Saccharomyces cerevisiae S288C: one gene and its partner. Each later gene encodes a partner of the first gene's protein in a complex. Each region holds a gene or a part of one and is shown on either strand. Other genes may lie near its edges. The genes, in order: KGD4 and KGD1.

The links.
Region 2: KGD4 (region 1) and KGD1 share a complex: the UniProt entries of both Saccharomyces cerevisiae proteins name them as parts of the 2-oxoglutarate dehydrogenase complex.

What each region holds. Positions count from the first base shown.
Region 1 is NC_001138.5:246,836-249,621, reverse strand, and holds KGD4 (alpha-ketoglutarate dehydrogenase subunit KGD4), read right to left. Parts: upstream 1,100-2,786; coding exon 728-1,099; downstream 1-727. Other genes in the region: PRE4 (proteasome core particle subunit beta 7), read left to right, coding at 1-556; RMD8 (Rmd8p), read right to left, coding at 1,488-2,786. UniProt on the Saccharomyces cerevisiae protein: Molecular adapter that is necessary to a form a stable 2-oxoglutarate dehydrogenase enzyme complex (OGDC).
Region 2 is NC_001141.2:121,036-126,492, reverse strand, and holds KGD1 (alpha-ketoglutarate dehydrogenase KGD1), read right to left. Parts: upstream 3,805-5,457; coding exon 760-3,804; downstream 1-759. Other genes in the region: AYR1 (acylglycerone-phosphate reductase), read right to left, coding at 1-289; RSC chromatin remodeling complex ATPase subunit STH1, read right to left, coding at 4,422-5,457. UniProt on the Saccharomyces cerevisiae protein: The 2-oxoglutarate dehydrogenase complex catalyzes the overall conversion of 2-oxoglutarate to succinyl-CoA and CO(2).

The DNA of each region.
Region 1 (2,786 bases):
CGTTGTGGGCATTTCAGGTGATATTTCTGATATGCAACACATTGAGAGATTATTGAAAGATCTAGTCACTGAAAATGCGTATGACAATCCTCTAGCGGATGCTGAAGAAGCGCTCGAACCCAGCTATATTTTTGAATATCTAGCTACCGTCATGTACCAGCGAAGATCAAAGATGAATCCACTTTGGAATGCCATCATTGTTGCTGGTGTACAGTCTAATGGTGATCAATTCCTAAGATACGTAAATCTTCTAGGTGTTACGTATTCGTCTCCCACCTTGGCCACAGGTTTTGGGGCACACATGGCAAACCCACTGTTAAGGAAAGTTGTAGATCGAGAATCTGATATTCCAAAGACCACTGTACAGGTTGCTGAAGAGGCGATCGTAAATGCAATGAGAGTTCTTTATTATAGAGATGCCCGTTCTTCTAGAAACTTCTCACTGGCCATAATTGATAAGAACACAGGTTTAACTTTCAAGAAAAACTTGCAAGTTGAAAACATGAAATGGGACTTCGCCAAGGATATTAAAGGCTACGGTACTCAAAAAATTTAGAAGAGTTTTATCCCACCTTCATTAAATACTCATTTTATTTTTATTTTTCAATTCATAATATCATCACTCTTCTCTCTTCCTAAGTAACTACGTTTTTACATAGATATAATGATATGTGTAAAGAAACTATAAAATAACAAAAAAAAATCATAATATTACTGCATCTATCCTTCACCATGCACCACCGCTATTTATGCTCTCCAATTCATGCTCGTTAATAGGTTTGTACCGAAACCTAGCAGGTAGCTCGAAAATGGAAGCAAGCTCATCTTTTTGCAATGGCCTGTTAACGAATACAGAGGTCTTTGACGAGCTGAGACCAGCATTAGCGCTATGCTTTATTGGCACTACACGGAATGGTTTATAATTTTCCATGAATTTACTCACTGGAATACACTCTTTGCTGCCAGGTAACATTCCGTTGGTAGCGCAAGGATGAACAACGACCTCAGTTGCATGCTTCACTAAGGGATGCCTTGTACCGACGAATTTTATCATCGGCTCATATGCACTCTTTGCTAATCTTATAGGTGTAGCAATCATTTCCCTGTCTTCTTGTACTTTTATCTTACTCTTATTATCGGTTAAAAACCTGGGGAAGTACTCCTTAATGGTTTGCTTTAAAGAATTCAATGCGGCTAGAAATGAAAAAGACTTTTAAGATCACTGAAACACTGCAATCTGGCTAAAATATTAGTCTTCACTATCGTCTTTTTCTCCTTTGTTGATGCGAAAGATGAATTTACATATTCGAGTCCCTTAGTCATATTATTGTACTTTTAATGCAATCTTGAGGGGAGCCAATCAACGAGTGGTTTTACTTGCACGTGACCAAGAATGGTAATAACGGTGAAATATATGACTAAAAACCTTGATAACTAAATATATCATTAATTTATTTTTAATGCCGTCTAGAAGGGTGTATGAATATCTATGTAGAAGTATGACGATGAATAATTACATAACGAACGAAAATCTCTGTTAATGAAAATATAACTCCAAATAAAATGACAAGAATAAACCACCATGTAACACGAGCCATGTTTCTTTCAGCAACAGAGTCAACGCATATATCAAAGAATTCCAAGAAAACTTTGCAACGATCATTTAATACTTGTACTCTTTGGTCAATTTCTAAATACTCCCTCATTGCCACGTACAGTGGATGCAAACTTGGTTCGAACGACCAAAAAAACTCGGGTGTATCCAATATGGTGGATGAAAGGTTAACATCCACTCTCAATTTAAAGAGCTTCCCTGATTTTTTCAAAAGCTGTTCCCTTTTTAACCCAAGGGTACCATATAATGCTAGTCTTTTAGGTAGTTTTGTGACTGATATTAAAATCGGCGAAATTCTGGATTCAAACCTTGATAATTTCGAAGATTGCGCAATCGCATGTGATAGTGTCAGCTCGATAATGTGGTCACCTGAACGTAATGTGACAATATCATTGAAAATTCTCGGTCTCTCGGTATCTCTGTCATATTCGAAATGGAATTGTTCAGTTTCAATATCTTGTTCATCCAGCGGCCGGATCATTAAATTCTTATAATCTGCAAATGTTATATCACCAAGAATATTTTTCTCTTGAATTTCAGTAAAGTTCCAAAAAACAATAACGCCATAGTGAAAAATGAAAATTTCTGCATGTCTATCATTGCCTTCATGGTCGTTGTCCCTATGCATTTTATATACACGATCAAAATCATTCTGTGATGAAGATGGTGGCGATGGCGTAGATATTGATGATGGCGAAGCTGGTGAACGAGAGGACTGTACATACTGATCGTTTCCCTCAACAGCATAAAGTTTACTCTTATCATTATTTTTATTATTATTATCGTTGCCACAACTTGCATCACTGTCGTTTTCCTCCTTCTTCAGCATGTTTATTCTTTCTGTCCTTTCCCGTTTCTCTATCTCTAAGGGAGTTTCTTCCGCAAAAAATTGTGGTTCCATAGGATTAAAAGAGTCTTGCTGACCAACTGGATTTGGTAGATGATCGGGAACTGTTGTGGTGTCTTGATTAGCGTTATTGTTATTTCCACTGGTTTCTAGTTCGTAATTATTATTTGCATCTTCCACAGTTTCCACACCTGAGTAATATTCATAATGATGATCTCTCTGTTCGCTTGTATCAATTAAATTATCAATTAATGTCTTTCCACCCATTGTTTTCTTAGATAAATTTGATTTGATTCTAAAACCGCCTTTACCTGGTAGAAGTGG
Region 2 (5,457 bases), on another chromosome or scaffold:
TCTGACCGGCATTGTTGTACAATAAATCTAATTTACCATCAGGTAAATTAGCTCGCAAAAAACCAGAAAATGTTACAATTTCTTCTGGCTTGGAAATATCCAACTTATATGGTTTGATACTATCGTTACCAAATTGGATGGCCAATTGTGCCATTGGTTCTAGTCTTCTTGCACATGCATAAACCAAATAGCCATTTCTGGCTAATTCCTTCGTTACCTCATATCCAATACCACCTGAGGCGCCTGTAACAACGGCAATCTTTTTAGGTTGTGACTGTAACTCCGACATACTCTTTGAAATCCTGATCAATATTTGAATTGAGTATATATTAATAGAAGTTGGGCATGATGAATAAAACTTATTCACTCTATTTACCTACCCCCTTCCCCCTTTCCATTGACTTATTTTTCACTTTTTTTCTCCACCGGATGAGGACAAGAGAAGCACCTAGCTGTGAATACACCAGAGGAGGAAGTAGGGGGAAAAAAACGATATCAATATAAAGTAAAGAATGATTCTTGAATAAATAGTAAATACAACTAATAAAAAAAGGTTCACATAAATAAAACGTTAAATTAAATAATTTTAAAAAGACTAAGCAGATGCTAACATCATGAACAAAAAAAAAATGTGAATGTATCAAAAAAAATATTTGTTAGATCATTCTTCAAGTAAAAAGGCTGTCCATAAACATTAAGGTAAAAATATTACGTGTTTATATGGCTGTATTTTCATGTTTTTCATATTTGAATTCATCTTTAGGATTGTTGGAAAACATCTTTCAAAAAGGCATCTTCTTCGGCCAAATGTAGTGATTTGCTACCGGCAGCAACAGCACCACTTGGGTTTCTACCACAGTATCTGACCTTGAAATCCTTATATTTATCCGTTTCTTTTAATGTTGTGTGTAAGCGTGGTTCTGTGTATGCCCACGAACCCATGTTCAATGGCTCTTCCTGGCACCAAACAATTTCTTCCAAGTTTGGATAAGAATTTAATGAATCACGTAGCTGAGCAAATGGGAATGGGTGCAGCTGTTCAATCTTTAAGAAAGCAGTGGTCTTATCACCCAAACTTTCACGTCTTTTATGTAGGGCAGTGTACACTTGGCCACTCAGCAAAACTAATCTCTTGGTTTCCTCTTTCGTACCAATACTTTTTCCATGTTCAATATCTTCGATAATCCATTGGAATCCGCCTTCAGTGAATTCGGAAAGAGATGATCTGGCCAATGGGTGACGCAGCAGCTGTTTAGAAAAGAATAACGCCAATGGTTTACGGAATTGACGATGTTGCTGTCTCCTTAGAATGTGGAATAAATTAGCAGGCGTAGTTGGATAAACAACCTGGAAATTACAATCCTGATGTTGTCTCTGTAGCTTTTCTTCAGATGGGAAATATCTTGGGTCTTCATTGGCTAGTTGCAAGAATCTTTCCAATCTACCAGACGAATGTTCTGGCCCCTGGCCATCATAACCATGGGGTAAAGACAAAACTAAACCAGAGCGTTGCTTCCATTTTTGTTCACCACCGGCAATAAATTGGTCAATAATAACCTGTGCTGTATTTGCAAAGTCACCGAATTGAGCCTCCCACATGACTAGATAATCTGGGGAGGTTAGCGAATAACCATATTCGAAACCCATTACACCGTACTCAGATAACGAGGAATTTGCAATGGTGAAGTCTGCCTTTTCATTATTCAGAGTGCTTAGCGGTGTGTAAATGGCTTCAGATTGTTGGTCATGCAAGACTGCATGACGTTGAGAAAATGTACCTCTTTCTACATCTTCACCGGAAACCCTAACGTTCTGACCATCCAAAACCAATGTACCGAACGCTAATGCTTCACCGGTGGCCCAATCGATGCCTTCACCTGTCTCAATAGATTTTCCTCTATTTTTCAAAATTCTCTTTAGATTTTTGTGCACTTCAAAACCTTCTGGCCACGAAGAGAGTACCTTACCTAGTTCTTTCAAAGTACTCTCTGGAACATTAGTTGGTTCATGTGGTAATATCTCAGTGGCCAATTCCTTTGGGGATTTGAATCCTTCCCAGGCAGCAGTTAACCATTCTCTTTGAGATGGGACGTAATCCTTTGCCTTTTCGAAAGCATCTTCAAATAAGTTCCATACCCATTTCTTGTGCTCATCAATATCTTTTTTAGAAAATGTGCCTTCACTTATCAATTTTTCCGTATAGACGTCAATGACAGATTTTTGTTTTGCAATTTTTTTGTACATTAATGGTTGAGTAAACGATGGCTGATCGGTTTCATTATGTCCATGTTTTCTCCAACCAACGACATCAATTATGGCATCTGTGTGGAACTTATGTCTCCATTCTGCGGCTAAATTGAAAATAAAGGTCACAGCTTCCACGTCATTAGCGTTAACATGGAAAATTGGGGCATCAATGGCCTTAGCCAAATCGGAAGGATATGGTGTGGACCTTGCAAATCTTGGATCCGTAGTGAATCCGATCTGGTTGTTTGTAATAACATGAATAGTACCACCAGTAGAGTATTCTGGTAGGGTCAAGAAACCCATGGTTTCATAAACAACACCCTGCCCAGCAAAAGCAGCATCACCATGTAATAACACACCTAAGGCCTTTGTTTTTTCCTTCAAATCGTTCTTGGCATGCAATAAAGCTCTAGTTCTACCAAGAACAACTGGATCTTGGGATTCTAAATGAGAAGGATTTGCCACCAGCGATAAATTGACGTACTTACCAGACGTAGTTGGTCTTTGGTAGTTCATACCCAAATGGTACTTGACATCACCCGATCCTTCAATATCATCGCGAGCGCTCGAACCCTTAAATTCAGAAAAAATAGATTCATTTGGTTTACGGACCACATTGGATAAAACGTTCAATCTACCACGGTGAGCCATACCCAAAACAATATCTTCTACACCCAATTCAACAGAACGATCAACCAAAGTTTTAATACCTGGAACAACACTTTCCAAACCTTCTAAACCGAACCTCTTATCATTTGGAAATTTTGTAGATAAGAATGACTCAAAAGAAGTGGCCCATGTTAATCTATCTAAGATTTGTCTCTTTTGGTCCACTGTATATTGGTAAGGTTCAGGAATCTCAATTCTCTCTCTTAACCAATCACACTTTTGCTTAGATGGAATATGTGTGTATTGTACCCCATAAGAGGAACAATATAACTTTTCTAGATGATCCACAATCTCTTTCAGAGACATTTTAGATTTCCCGTCCCTTGCAAACCTTGGCAGGATACCAGGTCCTAGGTTGATTTCTTTATCAAGATCGTGTTTGCTAAAGCCGTAGTAGTCTAGAGTCAATTCCGGAGGAACAGGGTTATTTTTATTACTACCAAATGAGATCCCTAAAGGATCTATATGGGCTTTTAAATGACCTCTAACTTGGTAAGCTCTACATAGCAATTGCACTTTTAGATGAATGGAGACGTTCTCATCTACTGAACCAGTCATTGCGGTCCCTAAGGGAGCTGCTTCGGTACCCTGGGGAAAGTTACTGATACTGGGAGGAGCCTGAAAAGCCTTTGTAGCTGGAATCTTTGGGTTAGACATATTCTTGAAATATGCGTCCCATGAAACATGGACTGAAGATGGGTCTTTTTGCCAAGCTTGGTACATTTCATCGATATAGGTGGCATTTGATGTCGATAGAAAATTATCTGTACCAGTGGTGGCTAACCCTCTTCCGACAATTTTGACAGTAGATGCATTTTTAAGTAAAGATGTTTTTAATAGTCCTCTTGAACTATACCGGCAGGTTTGCGAAGACACGAACCTTAGCATAACGGTAAAATTTAGTATTTTCTAAAAACTGCTTTCTTTCTCTTTTGTTGTTTCTTTCAAACGAAACTTTAATTTGGGGAAATTAGGAAGAAGTATGATGCTGAACGAGAATCGCTTCCTTCTCTCTTCCTATCTATATTCAGCTGCTGCGACTATGTGACAGAAACAAAATTGAGGGCGAAAAACAAACAAGATATGATCTTATTAAATAACACACGGGTTTGTTAAAGTATAAATAGTACACACCCAATGAATCTAAACCGTTATCGTAAATCGGACTTACATGTAGGTCTTGACTCCCGCAGTCCCTTTGCCAATCATTTATGTGTAATGCCTCTTTCTTATTTGCAGAGGCCCCTTCCTTAGCCCCGGAATCGCAAACGGTCGAAGCTAACTGGTCCATCGCCGCCGGGTAATTATTTTGCGGCACTAATAAGCCCAGAGAATAAGCCAAAGGATATTAGTTACTCAAAGAATTATATTCGCTCTGTCGATCTTATTGTTACAGTGGTATATATTTTATAAACATATGTAGAGGTAGAAAAAAAGGCTAGAAAGAGTATTAGAGGGGAAAGGGATATAGTCGTAAAAAAAAAAAACATGTGGTGATGAAAACGTTACGAAGAGTGTTCCTTGAACCATTCATCAGTAAACTCATTTAACTTGTCAGCATCAACGTAAACCCAGGATCCCTCTTCATTATAGAATCTAGCATTTTCAAACATCGTTTGTAAGGCTTGCCTTACCTCCTCCAAAGTTTTGTAAGTGCCATTCTTGCAGTTTTTCAATATAATATCAATGGCCATGGGTTTTTCAATTACTTTAAAATAGTCCGGATAGTCGCGTTTCGAAGGAAGCTTTTCAAAAATGGACGTCCTTGGATGGGAGTCTACCTCATCTAACTGTTCGCGCATTTCTTCCACCAATTTTTCCACCGTGGGAAAAATCCCAAGCGACTTGGATTTAGTTTTAGTTTTTTTGGCTGCAGTCTTCTTCGCGGGCGATTTACTCTCTGGCTTTTCTTCTGCTCGCTTACCATCATTATTCTCCAACACAGTTGTTTTGTTTAGTTTGATCTTGACGGTCAGTTTCGGTTTCTTTTTCTTGGATTCTGAACCATTTATAATTTCAACGGAGCTACTTTTTACTTCCTCTTCCACCTTAGCGCCCCCGTTTTCTTGAGATGTACTCTCTTCTTGAGTATTCTCTTTGTCTTCTGCCGTAACAATGCTAATGGTCCTTTTCTTTCTACTACTCCGGCGTTTTGACCTGGAAGCTGTAGTCTCTTTATCAGCATTAGTTTCCTCATCCACAGCTGCAGTGAAGCTATTGTTCTCAATCAATGAAGTTTCGGATGCTTCAGGCGTGTTTTCCAGGGTTTCTATTTCATTCTCTTTTGTACCATTTTGACGTAATCTCCTTCTTTCACGTGCTTCACGTCTTTTTTTAATGGCATCTTCTAAAGACATATTATCATCTTCTACAGCCTCCAAAAATTGTTCTTCAGTTAGACCGTCATCATAGTAAACTCTTTTCTTTTGTCTAATCCTTCCCAATGGTTCAGAATCCTCTTTCTTGAAATGTTCTTCAATGTCTTCTCTGAATACTTTGGGTAGCTCGTCTAATTGAATCAATCTAGGAGGAGGGACTCTC